3 linked regions of the Arabidopsis thaliana genome follow. The protein of the gene in region 1 interacts with the protein of each later gene in a pairwise test. Each region holds a gene or a part of one and is shown in the gene's direction. Other genes may lie near its edges.

Evidence for each region. Proteins that work in one complex are often made in the same cells at the same time.
Region 2: the proteins of ckl4 (region 1) and MYBR1 interact in binary tests that used the Arabidopsis thaliana proteins (3 or more experiments, as listed by UniProt).
Region 3: the proteins of ckl4 (region 1) and ACBP4 interact in binary tests that used the Arabidopsis thaliana proteins (3 or more experiments, as listed by UniProt).

Annotation. Positions count from the first base shown.
Region 1 is NC_003075.7:14,243,419-14,251,573, forward strand, and holds ckl4 (casein kinase I-like 4), read left to right. Parts: upstream 1-2,841; 5' UTR 2,842-2,940; coding exon 2,941-3,016; intron 3,017-3,094; coding exon 3,095-3,135; intron 3,136-3,313; coding exon 3,314-3,383; intron 3,384-3,468; coding exon 3,469-3,617; intron 3,618-3,737; coding exon 3,738-3,904; intron 3,905-4,026; coding exon 4,027-4,088; intron 4,089-4,165; coding exon 4,166-4,229; intron 4,230-4,367; coding exon 4,368-4,452; intron 4,453-4,530; coding exon 4,531-4,657; intron 4,658-4,752; coding exon 4,753-4,829; intron 4,830-5,002; coding exon 5,003-5,060; intron 5,061-5,244; coding exon 5,245-5,372; coding exon of another isoform or gene 5,373-5,405; exon of another isoform or gene 5,406-5,638; coding exon 5,639-5,779; 3' UTR 5,780-6,454; downstream 6,455-8,155. Other genes in the region: XTH26 (xyloglucan endotransglucosylase/hydrolase 26), read left to right, coding at 918-1,089, 1,215-1,315, 1,438-1,631, 1,952-2,363; AT4G28870 (mutator transposase MUDRA protein), read left to right, coding at 7,003-7,302; ckl3 (casein kinase I-like 3), read left to right, coding at 7,933-8,008, 8,105-8,145.
Region 2 is NC_003076.8:26,850,984-26,856,506, forward strand, and holds MYBR1 (myb domain protein r1), read left to right. Parts: upstream 1-3,038; 5' UTR 3,039-3,125; coding exon 3,126-4,043; 3' UTR 4,044-4,329; coding exon of another isoform or gene 4,330-4,935; 3' UTR 4,936-5,023; downstream 5,024-5,523. Other genes in the region: CYP81G1 (cytochrome P450, family 81, subfamily G, polypeptide 1), read right to left, coding at 4,330-4,935, 5,024-5,523. UniProt on the Arabidopsis thaliana protein: Transcription factor. Represses the expression of protein phosphatases 2C in response to abscisic acid (ABA). Confers resistance to abiotic stresses dependent of ABA. In response to auxin, activates the transcription of the auxin-responsive gene IAA19.
Region 3 is NC_003074.8:1,558,488-1,567,670, forward strand, and holds ACBP4 (acyl-CoA binding protein 4), read left to right. Parts: upstream 1-3,183; 5' UTR 3,184-3,392; coding exon 3,393-3,551; intron 3,552-4,081; coding exon 4,082-4,152; intron 4,153-4,583; coding exon 4,584-4,647; intron 4,648-4,739; coding exon 4,740-4,811; intron 4,812-4,924; coding exon 4,925-5,119; intron 5,120-5,220; coding exon 5,221-5,298; intron 5,299-5,420; coding exon 5,421-5,531; intron 5,532-5,719; coding exon 5,720-5,786; intron 5,787-5,889; coding exon 5,890-5,951; intron 5,952-6,208; coding exon 6,209-6,348; intron 6,349-6,524; coding exon 6,525-6,651; intron 6,652-6,730; coding exon 6,731-6,845; intron 6,846-6,982; coding exon 6,983-7,071; intron 7,072-7,211; coding exon 7,212-7,295; intron 7,296-7,377; coding exon 7,378-7,560; intron 7,561-7,749; coding exon 7,750-7,896; intron 7,897-8,068; coding exon 8,069-8,128; intron 8,129-8,374; coding exon 8,375-8,560; 3' UTR 8,561-8,849; downstream 8,850-9,183. Other genes in the region: AT3G05410 (Photosystem II reaction center PsbP family protein), read left to right, coding at 2,657-2,969; AT3G05425 (uncharacterized protein), read left to right, coding at 8,987-9,118. UniProt on the Arabidopsis thaliana protein: Binds medium- and long-chain acyl-CoA esters with very high affinity. Can interact in vitro with oleoyl-CoA, barely with palmitoyl-CoA, but not with arachidonyl-CoA. May function as an intracellular carrier of acyl-CoA esters.

The DNA of each region.
Region 1 (8,155 bases):
ATAATATACAAGAATATTTCAACACCCACCGAAAGTTATTCTTGACTGATCACTGGATTTCCTTGCTTAAATCATTAAATAAAAAAACCTTAAAACACGTTTTAATGATGTCTTGCACTTTTAGAACGAACTTTATAAACTAATCTAAATGGAGAATCGTTGTTTACAATGTTTCACCACTTCATGAGTGTCCAATCTCTGTTATGTGAACGAAAACAAACCAAATTAAATATAATCTATCTAAAAGTAAAACCAAAATGTATCAAAATTTATTTTTTGGTTAAGCATGATTTATTAAATTTTTTTCATGAAATCCTAAAACAATGTAACGGATTTTTTTTATCTAAGCCCTATGCAGTATGCAACGAGACGAAAATACCTGATTAAAAATATGGAAATCGTAAGGAACAATAGAGTAATAAAACAGATTGATGACAAACGAAGTTACTATTGGTAAAATTTCTGATTTGGAAGAGGAGAAGTTGACAAGTTCATCGACCCCATTTATTTGTGGAGTCTTCCCCACGTATATTCCTCGGCCTCTACCACAACCGCGTGAGCCAGCTAACAGTGTCCATCTTCTTATATTTTAGTTTTTTTTTTTTTTTCTATCTAATATTTATTTATCAAACACATGTTGGTGATTGGAAACTAAGAAACATACATATTCATAGTACCTTTCCAGGATAGCATTTTCTTTATATTAAAGAAGTTAGTTCTTTAATTGTTATGTTGTCTAATTCATGCATACAAAGTTCATTAGATGCACGTCAATTGTCAAAACTCTATACTTTTTGGACTACGTCAAAATTTCGATTTCTTAGAAGTTATATATAAAGAAAGCCTTACTGACAAACAAATGGTGATCGAATAGAGTTCCAATCCAAAACATTCCAAACACAAATCAAATTCGTAAGATGGCGGGTCTTCAAGCGAAGACGTTAATGTTCGTTCTGGCAGCTGCCTTAGCGACTCTTGGTCGCACATTTGTGGAGGCAGACTTCAGTAAGAATTTTATTGTTACATGGGGTAAAGATCACATGTTCATGAATGGTACCAACCTTCGACTTGTCCTAGACAAATCTGCAGGTATATAGTAATCTTATAACACAATAACTTTAAAATCAGTCCATTTAATTTTAGTCTATTATTTCATGAGAAACTTGATAGATAAACATGTATAACTGTTTTTATGTTTTTGTTTGTTTTTGCAGGATCTGCTATTAAATCAAAGGTGGCTCATTTGTTTGGAAGCGTAGAAATGCTCATCAAACTTGTGCCAGGGAATTCTGCTGGAACCGTTGCAGCCTATTACGTAAAATTTTCTTTTGAACTCGATCGATAGAATTACAAAAAAAATAAAAAAAAATAGAATCAATACGCAATTCTTTTATATATAGAAAAATTAGATTAATGTTTTCAGATTTTTCTTTGTAGTTATCGTCTACGGGAAGTACACACGATGAGATAGACTTCGAGTTCCTAGGAAATGCGACTGGTCAGCCGTACACGATCCACACCAACTTATATGCTCAAGGGAAAGGAAACCGCGAACAACAATTCCGGCCATGGTTCAACCCGACCAATGGTTTCCACAACTATACCATCCATTGGAACCCATCCGAAGTTGTGTAAGTAATTAACTTATGGCTATGGCGGTTTCTTAAGTACTTTATAAAAACTCCAAACAAATGCTAAGAAATGGTACTTTCTATCAATGAAATACCACATCAAAAAAACTTAAGTAAGATTAAATGTTACTTAGATAGTTTAGTTTGTTACTGTAAAACAACATTAAAGTACAAACACTTCATGATGAATTTTTCTTTTAGTTCCTTAATGTTTTCGAACCTTCAAACCAAAAAAACTTTAGGAATCTCAAACGATTATATGTTTTTATTTCCTTTCTATAAATAAACGTGTCGCACACCATGTTGTATATCTTATATAGGTGGTTCGTCGATGGAACTCCGATCAGAGTTTTTAGAAACTACGAAAGTGAAGGAATCGCATACCCGAACAAGCAAGGTATGAAAGTGTTTGCGAGTCTATGGAACGCAGAAGACTGGGCAACACAAGGAGGTCGAGTGAAGACTAACTGGACGCTAGCACCATTTGTGGCCGAGGGTCGTAGGTACAAGGCAAGAGCTTGTTTGTGGAAGGGATCAGTCAGCATCAAGCAATGTGTAGATCCAACTATACGGTCTAATTGGTGGACATCACCATCATTTAGTCAGCTCACTGCTTCGCAGCTGACGAAGATGCAAAAGATAAGAGATGGTTTCATGATCTATGATTATTGCAAGGACACTAACAGATTTAAAGGTGTTATGCCTCCGGAATGCTCGAAGAAGCAATTCTAATTCAAGTTTCCGGCCAGCGGGCGGAACGAGGAGAGGCTCCGGCAATCATAGCACCGCGGTCGAGGTTAATGGGGACGGACTGTAAATTCGTTTTTCATTATTTTTTTTAATAATTTATTTTTCTGAATTGTTTTTGTGAGGATTTTTGTGTGTCTTTGATTCATTGATAACTCGAATGAGCAATCATGATGAAGAAGAAGAAGTTTTTTTTTTTCCATTTTTTCTTTGTTAAAATCCTATACAAAAAAAAACAAATTCAAAAGCTAAAACCCTAGTAAAAAGAGACAAAATCCAATACAAAATTATCCCCAAAATTATCCATATTTAGACACATTGCGTTGACTTTAGAACTAGTGGATTAGAAACTCCACCGGTCCTACGTGGCAACTAAATTTCAGTCCACGTCACCGACACACAAATTTTCTTAGCCTTACTATACCATACAATTTACGTTAATGCCCCTATTGTCTCATCTATTCGCAAATTTCAACTCTCAAATTCAACGAAGTAAAAAAGCCCTAAATTGATATCTCTATCCCTTGCGCATGATCCAGATTCGGTTGTGATCGGAGCTGCCATGGAACGTATCATCGGCGGCAAGTACAAGCTCGGACGGAAGATTGGCGGTGGTTCCTTTGGAGAGATTTTCCTAGGTGTGTTCTCGTTGATTCTCGAGTTTTGTTCTTCTTCTTTGGTTTGAAATTGACGTACCTTGTTTGTTGATTTCGCAGCTACGCACATCGATACCTTCGAGATTGTAGCTGTTAAGATCGTAAGTTTCAATTGAATCAGCTATTAAACGAATCTACTCTGGGAATTTTGTATCATGTTCATTGTTTCGTGTGGTTCTTTGAATTGATTAACTCTAAATTTATCAGTCAAGCTCCTTGAAATGGTACTTTTTAGCTGACAATTTGTCTTTAACTCAGATCATTTGGATTGTTTTGCAGGAGAACAGTAAAACAAAACATCCTCAGCTTCTCTATGAAGCTAAGCTATATAGAACTCTTGAAGGAGGAAGTATGTTTCTCATTCCTATCTTTTCCCATTCTGTCGTTGTTGGTCATTGGAGGGATTGATTATCAGTACAATGCTCATTTTGCAGGTGGAATTCCGCGCATAAGATGGTTTGGAGTTGATGGAACAGAGAATGCTTTAGTGATGGATTTGCTCGGTCCAAGTCTCGAAGATCTTTTCGTCTACTGTGGGAGAAAATTTTCACCAAAGACGGTCTTGATGTTGGCTGATCAAATGGTATGGCATGAGTTTTAATCACATTTATTGCGTCTGGTTCTGTTTAAATACTAATCATTTCTCTTGAGTTATACATTTATCATCTAATGTGCTTATGATTTTCTTATTCCGATTTTACAGCTAACTAGAATAGAATATGTACATTCCAAAGGATATCTGCATAGAGATATAAAACCAGATAACTTTCTCATGGGCCTAGGCCGCAAAGCGAATCAGGTTTATCTAATTGACTTTGGACTGGCCAAAAGATATCGTGATGCCAACACCAACCGCCACATCCCTTATAGGTATTTGTGGCCATGGTTCATTATATTGTGTCTACCATCTGGAGGTGGTAAATTATCTTATCTGTTATAAGTTTTTAAGGTCACATTATACAACTTATTACCTTTTATTTGGTTGTATTCAGGGAAAACAAGAATTTAACAGGAACTGCACGATATGCAAGTTGCAATACACATCTTGGTATTGGTAAGGAATGCTGCCACTTTTTTCTCCCCTTTGTGAAGTAAAGTTTTTGCTCACATATTTCGATTTCTCTTTCGCAGAGCAAGGTAGACGGGATGACCTAGAGTCTCTTGGATATGTGCTTCTGTACTTCTTAAGAGGAAGGTGTGTTGACTTTTTGACTTGAAAGAACCTAGTTAACATTGTGTTTTTGGCAGGGTATTGTTTTTCCTTGTTTGAGATTTACTTAACCGTTTTCTTGCTTTACATTTTGTTCCTATTTTAATGAACCTCCTTTTCTAGCCTTCCATGGCAGGGTCTTAAGGCTGTTGACAAGAAGCAAAAGTATGACAAAATTTGTGAGAAGAAGATATCAACTCCTATTGAGGTCTATTTCCCTCTACTGTGTGAGTGAATTGTTTTTTGTTAATCCTCATTCAACTGAATAATATCCCATCCTTTGTAGGTTCTATGCAAAAGCCACCCCGTGGAGTTTGCTTCATATTTTCATTATTGCCACACACTGACATTTGATCAACGCCCTGATTATGGATTCTTGAAGCGGCTTTTTCGTGATTTATTCTCACGGGAAGGTACTTTGAGAAAGACATCCCTCCATCATTTTTATAATCCTCTCTGCTAGCATCAGTTATCTACCTAGCTCACTTAAACGTTTTCTTCTTTGCAGGATATGAGTTTGACTATATATATGACTGGACTATTATAAAGTATCAGCAATCACAGAAAACTAGAAGTCAGTCTCAGGTATAGTTTATCAATACCATTTGTTATTTTTTTTTCTCCAGGTGTATGCATATTTTGTCTTGTTCATAGAGAAGATTTCCTGGGGAGAAGTTTTACTTGGTTTTGCTATTTTTTAGTTTTGGTGCTAAATATAGATATGCCTGTCTTCCTAACAATAAACTGTCATGCTGCAGGCCGTTCCTGGGTCTAGTAATGCTCGTGCAATACCAATGGACACAAGCAATCATCGAGGTCAGCTCGAGTTATAAATTTTAATTGTGTCACTTTCTGATTAATTTTGTAATAGTATATGATGTGTTTTTTGTTTTCTCTCGACTTTCACACTGGACTCAACTGGCATAGAGTGTTTGGCTGATTTAGTTTCCCGTTGCAACTGTTTATTTCAATATCTTGATGCTAACTCTCCGTTTGGCAGGAGGAACTAAGATTTCACATGAAGCCCAAGTCTCTGACCGTGTCAGACCGGCTAATGCCAGTGGTCCAAGCCCACAGATTAATACCGCTGTAGGGAGGAGTCTGGGTTTTGATCAAGTCCACAAGAATGTACGTGCTTATTCATTTGCCTCTTCCAAATAAATGTTGTATCCTGCAACCCTCCCCCTTGTGTTAGCATCTCATGCCTGCATCTGTGTTGCTTCAGAGTTCTGCATGGTTCTCTGCTTAAAGCTTTTACCTGTTTTGCATGGTCAATTGTCATCAACGAGCTCTATATTGTGATATGAACTACATATAGCATAAATGATTAAAACACGATACTGATCATCACGAAATATGCTCTTGACCATTATTTTACTGAAAACCCATTGCAGATGAACATGCCATCATCCACTTCATTATCTCCTGCGGGTACCTCAAAAAGAAATGTCAGACCCGAAACCTCAAATTCTGGGTTTGGGAGCGGGAATAAAACCGGCGGTTGGACTTCACCATTCATGTCACCGGGGAAATGATGCAAAAAAAGTTGGAGTATATCATTCATCTGATCTGCTGAGCAAGATTATGTGTGCCTTTGGGTCTAAACTGTGATTTCTGCAGTGAAAAGCTCTAGACTGAGGTTGAAGATCTGAATGGAGTTTTTCCATGAACAGCTTACTGTTTGACAAAAGGCATGAAGATTATGTTTGCTTTCCTTCAAGATTCTCACAAATGACTGACTTCAACCTTTGTATAAAATCTTGCAACCGGGCGTGTAATTTGGTTCTTGTGATTCATTCTCCCAAGTTTTCTTCTATAAAACTTTGTTCGTATTTCTGTACGTAGTTCCCTGTGTTGGGGCATAACCTGGGTTTGCTGTGTCATCAACATTGTTTGCAGAAAATCAAGAGCAAAGCATGAGCAGCTTCAGCAGAGATGCCTTCAAAGGCTTGAGTCAAGAGTTGCTTGTGGCAGGGACATGTCACCATCAAGCTAATGTGCAGCTGACGAGAACGTAAAAGGATAAGCTATGGCTAGCTTCTGGAATGCTCCGAGAAACACTTCCCCCTTTTTTTTTCTCTGAATTTCCTATTCAGTTTAATGGTATTCTGTGTTTGATTTTTCTTACTCGATTTTGTGCATTGAAAAAAATTATATCAAAAAGCTTGACTTGATCCAAACATGCATTTTCAATTGCTATTATTAAAAAAAAAAAACGTATAAAATTGTAGTCTCAATATTGAAATACAAACACCTAGAATTGATCGATTTGGTAGAGAACTAGTTAGTGGATTAAATTTGGGTTGGCTGATTTTCGAGCCATAAACTATTTCGATTCTCAGCTTTCACACCCGGACTTTTGGGCCTTTAAATTTCCACCATCAACTTTCATATTCCCAAAATTACATCATCTATTTTTGGATTCATGCTTAAACATACATTTCCAATTGAACCATTCATTTAACCGGGATTAACCACAAATCCGCGTTTACTGTACCGCGATTGCGATTAACCCAACTAATACCCAGACCCGTTAAGAAAACGACGTCGTTTTCATTTCGTTTAACTCATCAAAAAGAGAAAGAAAACGACGTCGTTTTCATTCTTCTTCTTTAACTCTCAAATCGATTTAGTCGTTCTTCTTTAATCTCGACACTGTGAAATTAGGGTTCTTGAGAGAGAAAGACAAAAGGGGATTTGGGGTTTTCTTCTTCGGTTCGAATTTTTGGGTCTCGATTTGGGTTTCGAATAGGGAGAAATGAAGAATTGGTGGGAGGAAAGATTGATTTACCAAAGCGATCCAGATGACCCCGATTTCGAACCTCCAGAGAGTGACATTGAAGCCGACGATGGAAGTGATAGTGGTGATAGCGGAGTCGAGGAGGACGAAGCCACCAGAATCGAGGGAGAGGACGTCGGGATAGATGGAGACAGAGCTTCTGATGGAGAGGAAAATAGAGAAGACGATGGTGACATAGCGTCTGATGGAGACGTCAATCTAGAAGACGATGGAGACAGAGATGAAAGTCAAAAGAAGAGGACTACCAAATCGATTTGAGAGTTAAAGAAGAAGAATGAAAACGACGTCGTTTTCTTAACGGGTCTGGGTATTAGTCGGGTTAATCACAATCGCGGTACAGTAAACGCGGATTTGTGGTTAATCCCGGTTAAATGAATGGTTCAATTGAAAATGTATGTTTAATCATGAATTCGAAAGTAGATGATGTAATTTTGAGGAATATGAAAATTGATGGTGGAAATTTAAGGGCCCAAAAATCCGGGAGTGAAAACTAAGAATCGAAATAGTTTATGACTCGAAAATCAGCCAACCCATTAAATTTTCGAACCTTCATCATTTTGCAGACCCCAAAAACGGAAATCATCAAATCATCCACCGTGCCAGCGTGACATTACAAAATCACGTAAATACCCTCGTGTTTGTTTATAAGGTAAAAAAAGATTGGCGGACCCAAAATGGTGCAGTAGTTAGGTGTACAAATTTTTTTTTGAAGGATCACTACTACGGCTCAAACAAGCCTGGGTCCATGTCACTACCACCGATGTCAGTCAAACAAAAATAATAATATATGTTTTTAAGTTCCTCTAATTTCAATCTTCTAAACAACAACCCTAAATCCTTATCTCTATCCTTGCGCTTGATCCAGATTCGGTTCTGATTGGAGCTGCCATGGAACGCATCATCGGCGGCAAGTACAAGCTCGGACGGAAGATCGGCGGTGGTTCGTTCGGAGAGATTTTTCTAGGTTTTGTGTTCTCCTCTGTTCTTGTCCCTTTGGTTTTCCGAGTTTGCTTTTTTATTTGAAATTGACGCTCTTCTCTTCTGTTTGTTGTTTTCGCAGCTACGCACGTCGATACCTTCGAGATCGTAGCTGTTAAGATCGTAAGTCCCA
Region 2 (5,523 bases), on another chromosome or scaffold:
AGTTGACGATAAATTTCAGATTTGAAGACGAAATAAAGCAAATCTTTAAATAAGTTTTTTTGGAAATATCATATGATATCAGAATTCTAAAAAATCCAACAAATCGGTAAGTTCTAACATATAAGATGAAATAGTACTTGGTAGGTACAAAAATTAAACGTTTTGATTCCACACATACAAAAAGAAGAAGAAAAGAGTAACTTTTTATTTGTCGTCCAACAAAGAATCGCTTTTCAATCAAGCTTTAGTGAAGGTGTTAGGTGTGTGTGGCTTAAGCATATACATCAGAAGACCAACAAAATTTATCTTAAGCACGAAGGTCACCGAACGTAGTCGTTTCAACGATGACCGTACCATTAATGCAGATTTGTAGTGCGTGTGGATATATACATGCACACGTGTGGAAGGTGAAGGTACAAAATGTGCATACGGCTTAAGGATAAGCGAGAACACGGAAGGATATTTTGTAGCAGCATCTTTCTATTCTATGCAACTAAGTAAACGAACCACATGCACCTGTTTTCTTTAATTTATTGCCTTTGTGATTTTTTTTGTTGACACCATTATGTTTTTTTTTTGTTTGTAAACCATATAATTAAGTAGTTTCCCTAAACCGTTAACAATTAATACATTCTATAATGTCGAATAAAAAGAAAAGGTAATGCAAGTGGAAGAATATCTAAACACGTTAGTAGACCAATAGCAAAATTACAGTTGCTAGCTTACACGACAGGAGGAACAAGACAAGAGTAGTTTTGCCTTTGTTAAGAATAATTAGCATGACACGTCACTCAAACTTACACGTGGAAGGATAATTCATGGACACGTGGACATACTGGAAAACAGCTGTTAAATCTTTGTCCGGTTATCGTAAGTTTTTGAATTTTAAAACTGTATTTAGCCGAATTAGGTCATGTTCCACGTGCCTTTTTTTCTGCACCACTATCTCTTTTCCACAAGAGGGGCAATGATTTTTTGGTCCAAAAATATACAGTTGTAATCTTGGACGGTGTGTCTTAAATAAAATAATATATGGACGGTGTTTTCTTTAATGTTTTCTATGTTCATATGAACTTCTCGGTGGTCGTTTCAATCACAAAATTTATCATACCAGAAAACAAAATATTTTCAATAATTGAGGCTGTACGTTGTGTATTTTAGGTTTTTTCTTTAGATTGTTGCATGTTATATTTTCAGTTTACTATATGTTGTGATGATTATTCGTTACAAATGTTTTCAAAATGTCATACTATAGTAGTCATTTATAATAGATATGAAAAATGATCACAGTTGATTTGTTTTTTTGGTGGACTACGAATAAAATCGTTTTGGTAATTGTCTAATCTTCGAGTGAGTAAGACACCGTCAATCAACCATCAATATCATCAATCAAAACCATTATTGATCTATTTTTTGGTTTAAGGAAAAGTTGGTAATTGTAAAACGACTTCAATAAAATATTTAAAACAAGGAGACCAAAACCGACACTCGGACCATTGATAATAGAAACAACGAGCAAGGTTATAGTAGTATAGTTGAGTCTCACAAACGAACACGTAAACCCAATATAATAACTACGCAAGGTTACATCTAGAGCTTATTGTTCCCATCACAATAACCTCTTGGCATTATTAATTATCAAATTCACTCAAAGTATTAAACTCCTGATGTCTAATAGATTATCAACAAATCGACAAAAATGTAGATATATAACTCAAAAGGTATAAATTCAAATGTTTGGTGGGGTTACGTAAAAACTTGAATTATTAAGAACTAACAATACTATAGTTTAATTAAAAGGAGAATTATGAACCGTTAGAGGGAAGGTTAGGGAGCGTGCATGAACATTACCTGACGTTTACCGACCTGATTCGTACCGTACATACCAGAACAAAGAGCTTTTAAAAACCCGCGTTTTACGACCGACACGTGGCAGTTCTTAAATGGATGACAGTTAGTGTTTTATTAATTGTTTTTGTTTGATTAACAAGTTTTATACAGCCTGGCTGTTTCTATTCGTATTTTCGATATAATAATTAAATATATTTCAGGAAACAAAGGCAGTGATGATTTTGCGTTCCAATTCGGCAACCTATGTTGTCGTTTTCTGCCACGTCAAAACCTCCTATCTTTTGTTAACCGCACATTTTACATCACGTTTCCTAAACCGAACATTAATATCTAACCATTTTTATACATTCACTTAATATCGCTCACACGGTTCTTTGTCAATCCCATTTTAATCCAGCTTCGTTTCAAATTATTGAGGTTTAGATCTTTTTATGATCATAGAGCAACTATATATAGATTTAGTATTGTCAATTTGTCATGCACTGTTATATGCATGAATTAGGTGTTTGTGTGTTGTTTAGTAATTAATTATACCTTCTTAGTGACAATTTGTTTTCTTTATTAGTAATGAAATTTGTGGTCAATAATTTTGATTAGTTTTCAACCCGGAAAATCGGTTATATGTAAAGTAGATATTATCATAAAGTTTTTATGTGAAGTGCTATACAGCCTGGCTTCGCTATTCTAAAGTCAAGACTAAACATAAAAATAAATAAAAACTGTCCTTACCCAAACCTAACCGTTATCATCTTTTTATTTTTTTCTTCAGATATTTCTTTTTCATTTTTATTTCCCCTATAAAAAAATTTAAATTCACCTCAAATTGTGCGAATATTATCATGGCTTTGCTAGTTGGGTTTCGTGATTTTGTCTCTTTAACTTCTTACTTTCGCCACGCGCTTAAATGGCGCGTGTACTCACAAACTCATACTTTGAGACTCGACTGATCTCCACGCTCAACTATACGAAATTGCTGATCTTGAACAAAATTATTACGAAAACGACAAAAAAGACACATCGACGTAGTCAGGCTTCGACGCGTGTCCACTTACAGCTGTACCGCAAACTTTGAAAAACCGCTTGCGTGGAAGAAGCGTTGCCCATGACTTCTCCACCGTCTTAACCGGTTTCCGGTTATCCTCCTCTCTTAAATCTCTGTATAAATAATTTTGTCCTCTCTTTAGTTTCTCGAACTTGTTTTTGGTTCATCTCTCAAAACCAAAATCACTAAAGAGGAGAAGATTGCTAAAGTTTGATAAAACATTCCAAAATCAATGGCTGATAGGATCAAAGGTCCATGGAGTCCTGAAGAAGACGAGCAGCTTCGTAGGCTTGTTGTTAAATACGGTCCAAGAAACTGGACAGTGATTAGCAAATCTATTCCCGGTAGATCGGGGAAATCGTGTCGTTTACGGTGGTGCAACCAGCTTTCGCCGCAAGTTGAGCATCGGCCGTTTTCGGCTGAGGAAGACGAGACGATCGCACGTGCTCACGCTCAGTTCGGTAATAAATGGGCGACGATTGCTCGTCTTCTCAACGGTCGTACGGACAACGCCGTGAAGAATCACTGGAACTCGACGCTCAAGAGGAAATGCGGCGGTTACGACCATCGGGGTTACGATGGTTCGGAGGATCATCGGCCGGTTAAGAGATCGGTGAGTGCGGGATCTCCACCTGTTGTTACTGGGCTTTACATGAGCCCAGGAAGCCCAACTGGATCTGATGTCAGTGATTCAAGTACTATCCCGATATTACCTTCCGTTGAGCTTTTCAAGCCTGTGCCTAGACCTGGTGCTGTTGTGCTACCGCTTCCTATCGAAACGTCGTCTTCTTCCGATGATCCACCGACTTCGTTAAGCTTGTCACTTCCTGGTGCCGACGTAAGCGAGGAGTCAAACCGTAGCCACGAGTCAACGAATATCAACAACACCACTTCGAGCCGCCACAACCACAACAATACGGTGTCGTTTATGCCGTTTAGTGGTGGGTTTAGAGGTGCGATTGAGGAAATGGGGAAGTCTTTTCCCGGTAACGGAGGCGAGTTTATGGCGGTGGTGCAAGAGATGATTAAGGCGGAAGTGAGGAGTTACATGACGGAGATGCAACGGAACAATGGTGGCGGATTCGTCGGAGGATTCATTGATAATGGCATGATTCCGATGAGTCAAATTGGAGTTGGGAGAATCGAGTAGACAAAGTGAGATTATTAGGAAACTGTTTAAATTGGAGAAGAAGAAAAATGCTCTGTTTTTTTCTCCTTTGGATTAGGCTTAAGAATTTTGGGTTTTAAGGAAATGTATAGAGGAAATCGAGTGAACAAAGCTCGAGAGCTGGGGACGTAGTGACGAAGACGAAGATCAAATTTCTCTTAAGCTATTCAGGAAAATAAAATAAATTTTTATTTATAACTACGCTTAATGATGATAATAGATCAAATTAATACACAAAGTATCACAAAGTGAAAGATAAATGATCCAGTTAAAGAACAAGTTTGTCGAGGATTGGTAAAGACTTGCATTTGGCAACTAAAGGCACAGATTTGGGCATGGTAAGACCCTTTCCTTCCGACATGTCAACGGCAACGTCATTGTCTCTCTCCCAATCGAAACACTGGATCAATGAGCCTAAAGCTAAGCTCAGTACTAGTTGGGCCAGGCCCATACCAGGACATGCTCTCCTACCGATTCCGAAAGGCAGAAACTTACCACGATGGGTCTCTGATTCAAACCTCTCTGGTTTGAAAGTTTCTGGGTCATCCCATACATTTGGGTCTCTCTGAATAGCCCACGCATTGATAAATAGCCAGGTGCGACGTGGAATGTCAAATCCAGCGACTTCACAGTCAGTGGATGAAGCGTGTGGGACAAGTAAGGGCGCCGCCGGAAACAAACGAAGAGTCTCAGAGATCACATTGTTGAGATAGGGACACTTGCCAGTATCTGATTCCTCAAACACACGCCCTTCTTTCGAAACCTCGTTTAGTTCCGTTTTGAGTTTCCTTAAAACTTCCGGATGATTTAGAAGGTTAGCCATAGCCCACTCCAACGTCACTGCGGTTGTGTCCGTTCCAGCAAGCAACATCACCTGCAATGAATCCTTTGAATCTTTGATGAATCAATCTTGATCACTCCTATTAACGATTCAAAATTATAGGAATTAAAAACTCATGTACCTGTACGAGCCCTTTGATGATATCATCAGTGTAACATTCAGGTTCTGATTCTTGAAGAGACAGCAAACGAGTGATCATCGTTTTCTCAAGCTCTGCTTTTCCTCTGTTTTTCCGATGCTCGTCGACTAATTTCTGCATAAACTTGTCCAATTTCGAAGCGAGTTTCTTTGCTCTCTTTCTGTATCCATCAAGATCAAAGAGCTTCAGAGTCGGGAGAAAATCTCCGACATAATTAACACCAGCGAAATCGAACACCTCCCTAATCAGCTTCCGAACTTCCTTAGTTTCCTCGTCTTCCTCTCGTTTTCCAGCGACCATGCTCATTAGGATGTTATACGTAAGCCCATAAAGAAACGGCTGGAGTTTCAATCTGACACTGCCTCCTGATGTTACCAGTTCCACGTTGATCTTCCGAATCATAGCTCTCACTTCGTCTCTCCGTATATCCGAAAAGTCTCTGAGACGAGCGGTGGACAAGATATCTACGGCGCAGAAACGGC
Region 3 (9,183 bases), on another chromosome or scaffold:
CCAACGTTACTCTACACCGCAAATGATCCGAGCACCCTCCTGCTTCAAAAGTGCCATAAGCCGCAGGAAATTTACGATTCCATTCTTCATTAACAAGAACTCTGTCCAACTTTTTATTTATTATCCCCTCTTCTCTCTTGTTTGACCAAGTAAACACCGGACCATGATAGCTCATATCAGCTAGAGAGCAGTCTCTAACGACTTCTTGGAAATCTCGCATACCCTGCGGAATAAAAGGTGAAGTAACAAAATTTGAATGCTCCTCCCCCTCCAGAATTTCATTAAAATCACCAAGAATCATCCAACTTTTGGTACGGAACATTGGCATATTGTAATGATTTCTCAAGTCTTCCCAAAGTTCCCGCCTCTCATCCACATAGTTTGAAGCATAGATAAAAGAAACCAAAAATTCCTCTGCATTCTCTTCAGTCAAAACAGAGCAAGTAATCATTTGTCCACTTTTATAAACCGGAGTGACACGAACCGAACTCTTCCAAATAACCCAAATTCGTCCCAAACGATGGTGTTCATAGTTAGTCATAGAAGACCACCCAGGAAATACCTTAGAAATGATCTTGCTAGCACTAGTTTCATCCACCCTCGTTTCTAATAAACCCCCAAAAGTTAAAGACTCCTTTCTCACCCAATCACGAACAACGGAATGTTTATTTGATTTGTTAAAACCGCGCACATTCCAGAAGAACCCCGACATTTAATGATGTTTTTTGGAGTTTCTTCTGCTCGAATTGCTGGAGACATTGTCTCTAGCTTTTTGAGTAAAAGACTCCGAAAGGACTTTGTGTGAACTCTTGGAGGAGCGAGGAAGATTTACTCTCACCGCTCCTGCTTTCTCTTTATCCGAAGTGGAATTCTTTTCGATCGCTTGAGTAGAGACAACGTCATCAATAGAGTTCGTTCGCTCCGTCTCAATGACTTCCTCTGAGGAGATTGTGGGGAACTCATCTTTATCCCCATTCTCCTCCTGATCACTCAGGACAGAGTACCGAGAAGAGGATAAAATTGTTGCTTGGCCAAAAGTTAATGGTTTCCCATTTGACTTTTCTGTACTTTTGCTTCCTTTACCTGGGGAGACTATGGACCAACCATCTCCTTCCGACTGAGATTCTGGTGGTACCACCTTCTCTGCTACCACTTGTTGTTCAAAAACCTCCTGAGAAATCAAAATCGAGTTCTGAATCCCATCCTCTTTATTCCCACTATTAGCTGACTCATGGTCAGCAACTCTCACTGTGGTAGCAGAAGCAGAAGGATCCGCTAAAACTTCACCTTCTTCTAGCTCACTTTCTATCACCAGCGCTGGAGGCTTGAGCTTACTCACACAAACATCCACTAGGTGACCCCACTTACTACAACAAGTGCATTTGGGAGGCAACCAGGGGTAAATAAACTCCACGATAACATCTTTTTCCTCCTCAATTTTGAACCTGTGACACTTTGGAACGTCTTGCGAAAGATTTACTTCAACAAAAACTTTAGCTTCATCAAACTTTGTGCATAATTCTGTTTCAGGATGTAACCGTATTGGATTTCCTACTGAACTTGTAATAAAACTCAAACCATCCCAGGAGAACATGGAATGAGGAACATTCTTCACTGTGACCCACAACGGCATTGTTTTAATCTCTGGCTGGGCTTCTTCTTTAATCGGAGACCACTTGGCAACAATCATTGGTAAACCAGCAATGTTCCACATCCCTCTTCTGACTATTCTCGAACGCGTGGCGGAGTCACGGATTCGAAACTTTACTGAAGTAGAGTCTATCTCATAGACGTCAATCTTAATTGCTTTGTCCCCAAGAGTCCAGATCTTATTGACTATGACATGGATCTTAGCGACATGCGGAGCTTGTGATGGGAACCGTCCCACCAGAAAATCATCCCAGAGAGGGACAGATTCAGTGATAACTTCTTTCGGAACTGCAATGGTTGGGACACCGTCTTGCACAGAGACTTCATATTCATCTTTTTTCAGAGAAGGCCGTTTAGTAACTACTGCTGCATAGGACTTTTGCTGGACAGATCCAGATGGAGAACCAACTGTTCCTGCCTCAGAAGAGACTGGTAAAACCTGGTCGGACATGAGAAACCGACGGCAAGCCGCCGCTGAAACCCTAGCTTGCTGAAAAAGAATGAAAACCCTAGTCGCCAAGAAAATCGCCCTAGAGCTGACGTGTCATTAAAAAAAAAAAACATCATTCTTATAGTAGAAACATTTGATTGTTCTGTGGTAACTGGTAACGACTAAGTGATATGGTTTACTAGATCTTGCAAACAAATCTAATTGATCATGAGAAAAAATTGTAAGACTAGATCGATTATTTTAGTGGTCTAACAACTAGTTTCAAAGTTGTAATTTTCAAGATTGTTTATTACATTTAGTACATGTTTGAAGTGAAACAATATATCTCAATGTAAGTACATGATTCTCTTTACTACTTTGAATCTATCACAGAAGTTAGTGCAGACACCCGATTCGCTATGATTGTTAAGATCATAAAGTGACCTAGATCGATGAGCATCAATGTTTTTTTTTTTCTTTTGCCAATAAGCATCAATGTTTTCTTGACGAGCAATTGTCATTTTATTTCAAGAAGCGGAATCTGTTTTATGAAAGTGTTTATTGTTTACGATATAGAATCGAAGCGTTTGGAGGGCCAAAAGAAGTAGGAGAGGCAATAGTAAGAACAGTGACAGGATCTGGTCAACGAGCAGATTTGAAAGGAACTTTGCTAGAATCAAGTATCAGACAAGATTCAGAGAGAAACTTGAAGTACTACGAGTTGGAGTTTAAAGTCGAATCACCTCTTTTCCGGCGGCATAATGTAGCCGTTTGTTGCGCTCACAGTGGCCGGCTTTATACACTGAACGCTCAAGCGCCAGAGTCAGCTTGGTCAGAGGTGAAATCGGAAATTTACACTACTGCGAAATCGTTCAATATAATTTCTTGAATGTAAAGGATCGGAAAACAAATTGTAAAAACCCAAAAAGAAACAAGATACTACAAAGCAAAGCTTATTTTTTCTTCATATTGATAGGGTCTCTTTGTTTTTCTTAATTAATTCACACTATTGAGTTGATTACGATGATTAAGGTCAAAAATACGAAGTGACAATAAAAAGAGAAAAGTTTCGAGCATAATCATGTCTTCTTGATCGTGCCGCTCGCTATATAAACACTGCACCAAGCAATTACTATAATTTTTGATCAATTAAATATTAAATTTTGAGAATATGTTTCTATATTAATGAAAATAATTTAAAGTAATCATAAGTTTGTATCTTTGAACAAACGAAACTAGAAAACGCCTATCTCTGCTCATTGGCTTCTCCATCTCCGATCAAATCCGCGGTCGTAGTCAGAGAGAGAGACAAATGGCTATGCCTAGGGCAACCTCTGGTCCCGCTTACCCGGAGAGGTTCTACGCTGCTGCATCTTATGTCGGTCTCGACGGATCTGATTCGTCGGCGAAAAACGTCATCTCGAAATTCCCCGATGATACTGCACTACTTCTCTATGCGCTATACCAGCAGGTCAGCAACTTCCATTTCTGATCTCTTCCATTGTTGATCTCACGATTGTGGATTTTGCTTTTGAATTTCACGAGATCTGGTCGTTTGGGTGTTGATTTCTTTGTTTTAGTCACCGATTCATATTCCTCTCGCCGAATTCTTATCGGATTTTAGAAATGACGCACTTTACTTGTCTGATTAGCTGTGCTTGATCGTTATTTTCGATCCTGGTTAGTATATTCGAAATGCTCAGTAAAATGTTACCCGAGATCTCATCACGATTTGATTGGAAACATGATTGAAACAGTTTTATTTTATTAGATCTCAGGGAGCGTTGGTCCGTCAGTCGTAGTTTACTTGGATCTACATTGATTCTATAACTTGATTAGTATAGTCGTAGATGAATTTCTTACGAGGGGGTGAAACTGGCTGTTCCTTAACATAGAGAGAAACGTTCTCTTGTACTAATTATAATGTCGAGTCTACTAGTTTTTATCCCTGGGATAGATAGGCTCAGTGCTGATGATCTCTTGGATTTAACATTGAAACAGGCTACTGTAGGACCATGCAACACTCCGAAACCTAGTGCCTGGAGACCAGTGGAGCAAAGCAAATGGAAAAGGTTAGATTGGGTGCTGTGTTTTGCCCATACTTATCTACGATTAACATTTATGCATTTATCACTGGTTCTTTTATTTCTATTCTTGCGTTTGTGAATCATACTTGTAGGAATATGCTTCATGGTAGATATTAATAGGAGATGTCTTAGATTTCATCAATTACTAGAGCGTAAGAATCCAAATGCATTAGGGAAACGGGAAAGGAGTACTTTAGTGTAAGCTACTAGAGGAAAATAGAAATGCAGGATTTGAATGTGCATCCCTGGGGAAAAAAACTAAGTGCTTACCTATGTTTTGGACCTTTTGGTCTACATTACTGAGGTTGTTAATGCTTACGATCCTTTTTAAAGGAAAATAAGACTTTAAAGTTGTCCTCGTTCCTTTCCTGAAAGATACACATGCTACTGTTCTGAAGCATTTCATATTTACTTAGTTGGCAGGGGCTCGGAACCATGCCCTCCATTGAGGCAATGCGTCTCTTTGTGAAAATTCTGGAGGTAACCGACAAAGAGGTCTATTTTTTTTTTTTTTTTAAAGACTTAACTGGAGCATAACCTTGCTTTCTTCTCTATTGCTCAATTTTTATCAGGAAGATGATCCTGGTTGGTATTCGAGGGCATCTAATGATATTCCAGATCCTGTTGTAGATGTCCAAATTAATGTAAGTTTTGGTATCCCATGGGATTCGATGTCCAAACCATGGGAACTATTACACATATCTTTTGCTTGATTGAAGAAAATTATTTGAGTTTTTTAGTGCATTCATCTTTGTAGCAGAGAGCAAAAGATGAGCCTGTTGTTGAGAATGGGAGCACATTTAGTGAGACAAAAACAATTTCTACGGAGAATGGACGTTTGGCTGAAACCCAAGATAAAGATGTAGTCTCAGAAGACTCAAATACTGTTTCTGTATATAACCAGTGGACTGCACCCCAAACATCAGGTCAGCGTCCAAAAGCTCGTTACGAGGTAATTTATTTTTTCTCTCTCTTTTGAAGAATAAGTAAAAGGTTATGTCATTCATGTATCTTCTGTATTTTTCTAAGTCTTGTTTATTATATTTTTTTCAGCATGGCGCAGCAGTTATTCAAGATAAGATGTATATATATGGTGGAAATCACAATGGCCGTTACCTTGGTGATCTTCATGTAAGCAACCTCTATGGTTTATAAGCATAAGCTCCTAATGTAATTGAGATATTCAGCTCCTAGCTTGACAATACCAGTCCCGGTGACAGTTCCTAAGCAAAGCTTCTGTGGAATGTATACAGGTTCTAGATTTAAAAAGTTGGACTTGGTCAAGAGTTGAAACCAAGGTTGCAACAGAATCTCAGGAAACATCAACTCCGACATTGTTAGCTCCTTGTGCTGGTCATTCTTTGGTAAGTTTATTAACTTTTTCGTTTTGTTTTTGTTATTATCGTTTTGCTTTCCTGCCCAGAAATATTCAGGAGAGGGGTTTCAGCTAAAGCAAAGTATTCTCTTCATGAAAGTCACTTGCTATATTAGTTTGTAATAAAGAAGACTCTAGCTATACATTATTCACTTACCTTCTTTGCTTGTTTTGTAGATAGCATGGGACAACAAGCTGCTGTCTATCGGTGGTCACACAAAGGATCCCTCAGAATCTATGCAAGGTTAGCGTTTATATACCTTTGAAGACGATAATTTGCACATATTTATAAGATTTTTCTGGAATCTCAATGATTACATATCACTTTCTACTGTTTCCTGTCACAGTGAAGGTCTTTGATCCCCATACCATTACATGGTCAATGTTAAAGACATATGGAAAACCACCGGTATATCTTCACTTCTCTCATGTTGTCTCATTTGCTTTCCTGTCACCTTTGTATGAAAATATTACAGTTTTATACAAAAAAAAATTTGGCCGTCAAAAGACAAAAAAATAAAAGTTGTTTTCTTTCCTTACCCTCCCATAATATCTTCAGGGTTAAGGTGCATCTAAATCCAGAATTTCTCCTTGCTAATTTGGAAGTCAAATATGCATTTTGGTTACTTAAATTTAGACTTTCTTATAATTATCTCTTGCTTTTAGGTTTCACGTGGAGGCCAGTCAGTTACAATGGTGGGTAAAACCTTGGTGATATTTGGCGGGCAAGATGCAAAGAGATCACTTCTGAACGATTTGCATATACTTGACCTAGACACGATGACCTGGGATGAGATAGATGCCGTGTAAGATTTTATGATGTTTCTGCATTTTGTTCTCTTTCGAAGAAGTCAAACCCATTTAAGATTAGATATATAACCAGAATATGAATATGTTAGAAATCGACCTCCTATCTCCTTTAGTATCTTAGTCGTTATTGAAAGATTAGCAATTCAGGATTTAAATTGGTGTCAAATTGCAGGGGTGTATCTCCATCTCCGAGGTCTGATCATGCTGCTGCAGTGCATGCAGAACGGTTCCTTCTTATCTTTGGTGGCGGCTCACATGCAACCTGTTTCGATGACCTGCATGTCCTTGATTTGCAAACTGTAAGTTAAGCTAAGAGTCTATTCTTTCAGCTGCTCTCAAACATGCTTTGTCAGCCTCTGATATAATTGTCACATATAGATGGAGTGGTCAAGACCAGCACAGCAAGGTGATGCACCAACTCCAAGAGCTGGACATGCTGGCGTGACAATTGGGGAGAACTGGTTTATTGTTGGTGGCGGTGATAACAAGAGTGGTATGTTAATGCACTTTTCCCTTGGAAATTTTCTCTTCCCAACCGTTCTGTTTATCACCCCCTAGAACAAAAGATATTTGCTTGGGTTTTTTTTTTTGTGTGTGTGGGGTGACTAATTTTGTGACAAATTACTGCAGGGGCATCGGAGAGTGTTGTACTAAACATGTCAACTCTTGCATGGTCGGTCGTTGCTTCAGTTCAAGGACGTGTACCTCTTGCTAGCGAGGTACTTAAATAAACAGACTTTATCCATATTAATTCCCAGATAGCTATACAAATAAACACGGTAGAAGCCTTTTCAAGACTTCGAAAAAAGTCAAGTCATGCTTATTTCATTTCCATCGTCCTTTCCTTTGCTACTGACAGGGATTAAGTTTAGTGGTGAGTTCATACAATGGTGAAGATGTACTAGTCGCTTTTGGTGGATACAATGGACGTTACAATAACGAAGTAGGGACTGTGATCTGAACCCATAAGTTCATTTCTCTTAATTTTTCATTTAGTTCTGCTTCTAATTCTTATCTGGCATTAGATTAATCTTCTTAAACCAAGCCACAAATCAACATTGCAAACAAAGACTCTGGAAGCGCCTTTGCCAGGTAGTCTTTCTGCTGTTAATAATGCCACAACCAGAGACATTGAGTCTGAGGTTGAGGTGAGCCAAGAAGGCAGGGTACGGGAAATTGTCATGGACAATGTTAACCCTGGATCAAAGGTATCTTCTTGTCAAATTTCCCTCCTTAATATATTTTGCATAGCACCACCTTTTGATTTGTTTGAGAGAATTGAAGCATCTTATGCATATATGCTGTGGTAGTGATTGTGTCGACACAGAATATAGTTACTCCAGTCCGGATCATCACCTTCTCGCACTCTTATTATGTTTTGGGTGATTAATCCCCAGGTTGAAGGAAACAGCGAACGCATTATTGCGACTATTAAATCTGAGAAGGAAGAGCTGGAGGCATCACTGAACAAAGAGAGGATGCAGACTCTCCAACTAAGGCAAGAGTTAGGAGAAGCAGAATTACGAAACACAGATTTGTACAAGGTACTAATATTATCACCTTCTTAAAACAGAAGCCGACATGAATAAATTGGTGAACCAATCGTTCATAAAGACTGGTTGCAGCAGTCTTCCAATTGCATTCACATTTAACATCTGAAATCTCGGAATTTTTCCTCGAATATGATATACCTAACTTTGTACTGACATTTTGTAGGAACTTCAATCTGTTCGTGGCCAACTTGCAGCCGAACAATCAAGGTGTTTCAAACTGGAGGTACTAAACCGTAGCCACATCTCTTTTGTACCATAACCTACAGAATTTGGAATCTCGTGAAACCCGTGATTTAATGACTACATATACTCATATTCCAGGATGAATAGGAATCTTGATTAGAACATTCATCCATTGTAACCACTGGATCTATCACATATCTTCTCTGTCATTTATTGATAAGCTTCATCACGTCATAAGAACAAAAACAAAGCAAATCTAATTGGGTCACTTTCTCCGAATCTGCAGGTTGATGTTGCAGAGCTAAGACAAAAGCTTCAAACATTGGAAACACTACAGAAGGAACTCGAACTCCTGCAACGTCAAAAGGCTGCCTCAGAACAAGCTGCAATGAACGCTAAACGACAGGGCTCGGGTGGCGTATGGGGCTGGCTCGCTGGAAGCCCTCAGGAAAAAGATGATGATTCGCCTTGATCATTTTTGGTCCGGTAATGCCATTTTCCTCCGGACGATATTTGCTTTCAGTAAAGAAATATATATAGTTTTTTTTGTCTGAGTCTCTCGCATTGTTTCTTCTTCCAATAAGATATTTTTTTAGCGAGCTTTGATTACTACCGATGTTTAGCTTTGTTCTCTGTTATACAAGTGATTCACCAGAATATTCGTTAACTTTTTTGAAATATTTGTTTTGGGAGTGTCTGACAAAATTATGAAAACTAAATCAGTTTACGATCAGCAATCATAATTTTCTTATATTTACGAGTCTCTTACTCTCTTCACTCTTTAGTCTTCGTTTGCATTAAAAATTAAATTAAATTTACCTCACTTCGTAAGTGGACAAAAAATCACGTTTTAGGCAGCAAAATAAAATAAAATAAAAAGATCACGTTTTTTTGTCCCATGACGTGGCAACCTATTACTGGATGGGAAGTTCGACCGTTCACCATCACCATTTATGACGCTGAGAAGTTACCAAAATGTCCTTCTCACCAAGTGATGCTTTTGTCATCTTCTCCAGCTTTACTCTCATGAAATTTCTTAAATTTTCTCTTCCAGCAAACAATCTCAGGATTTAAACAAAGTTACGCATCTTCTGG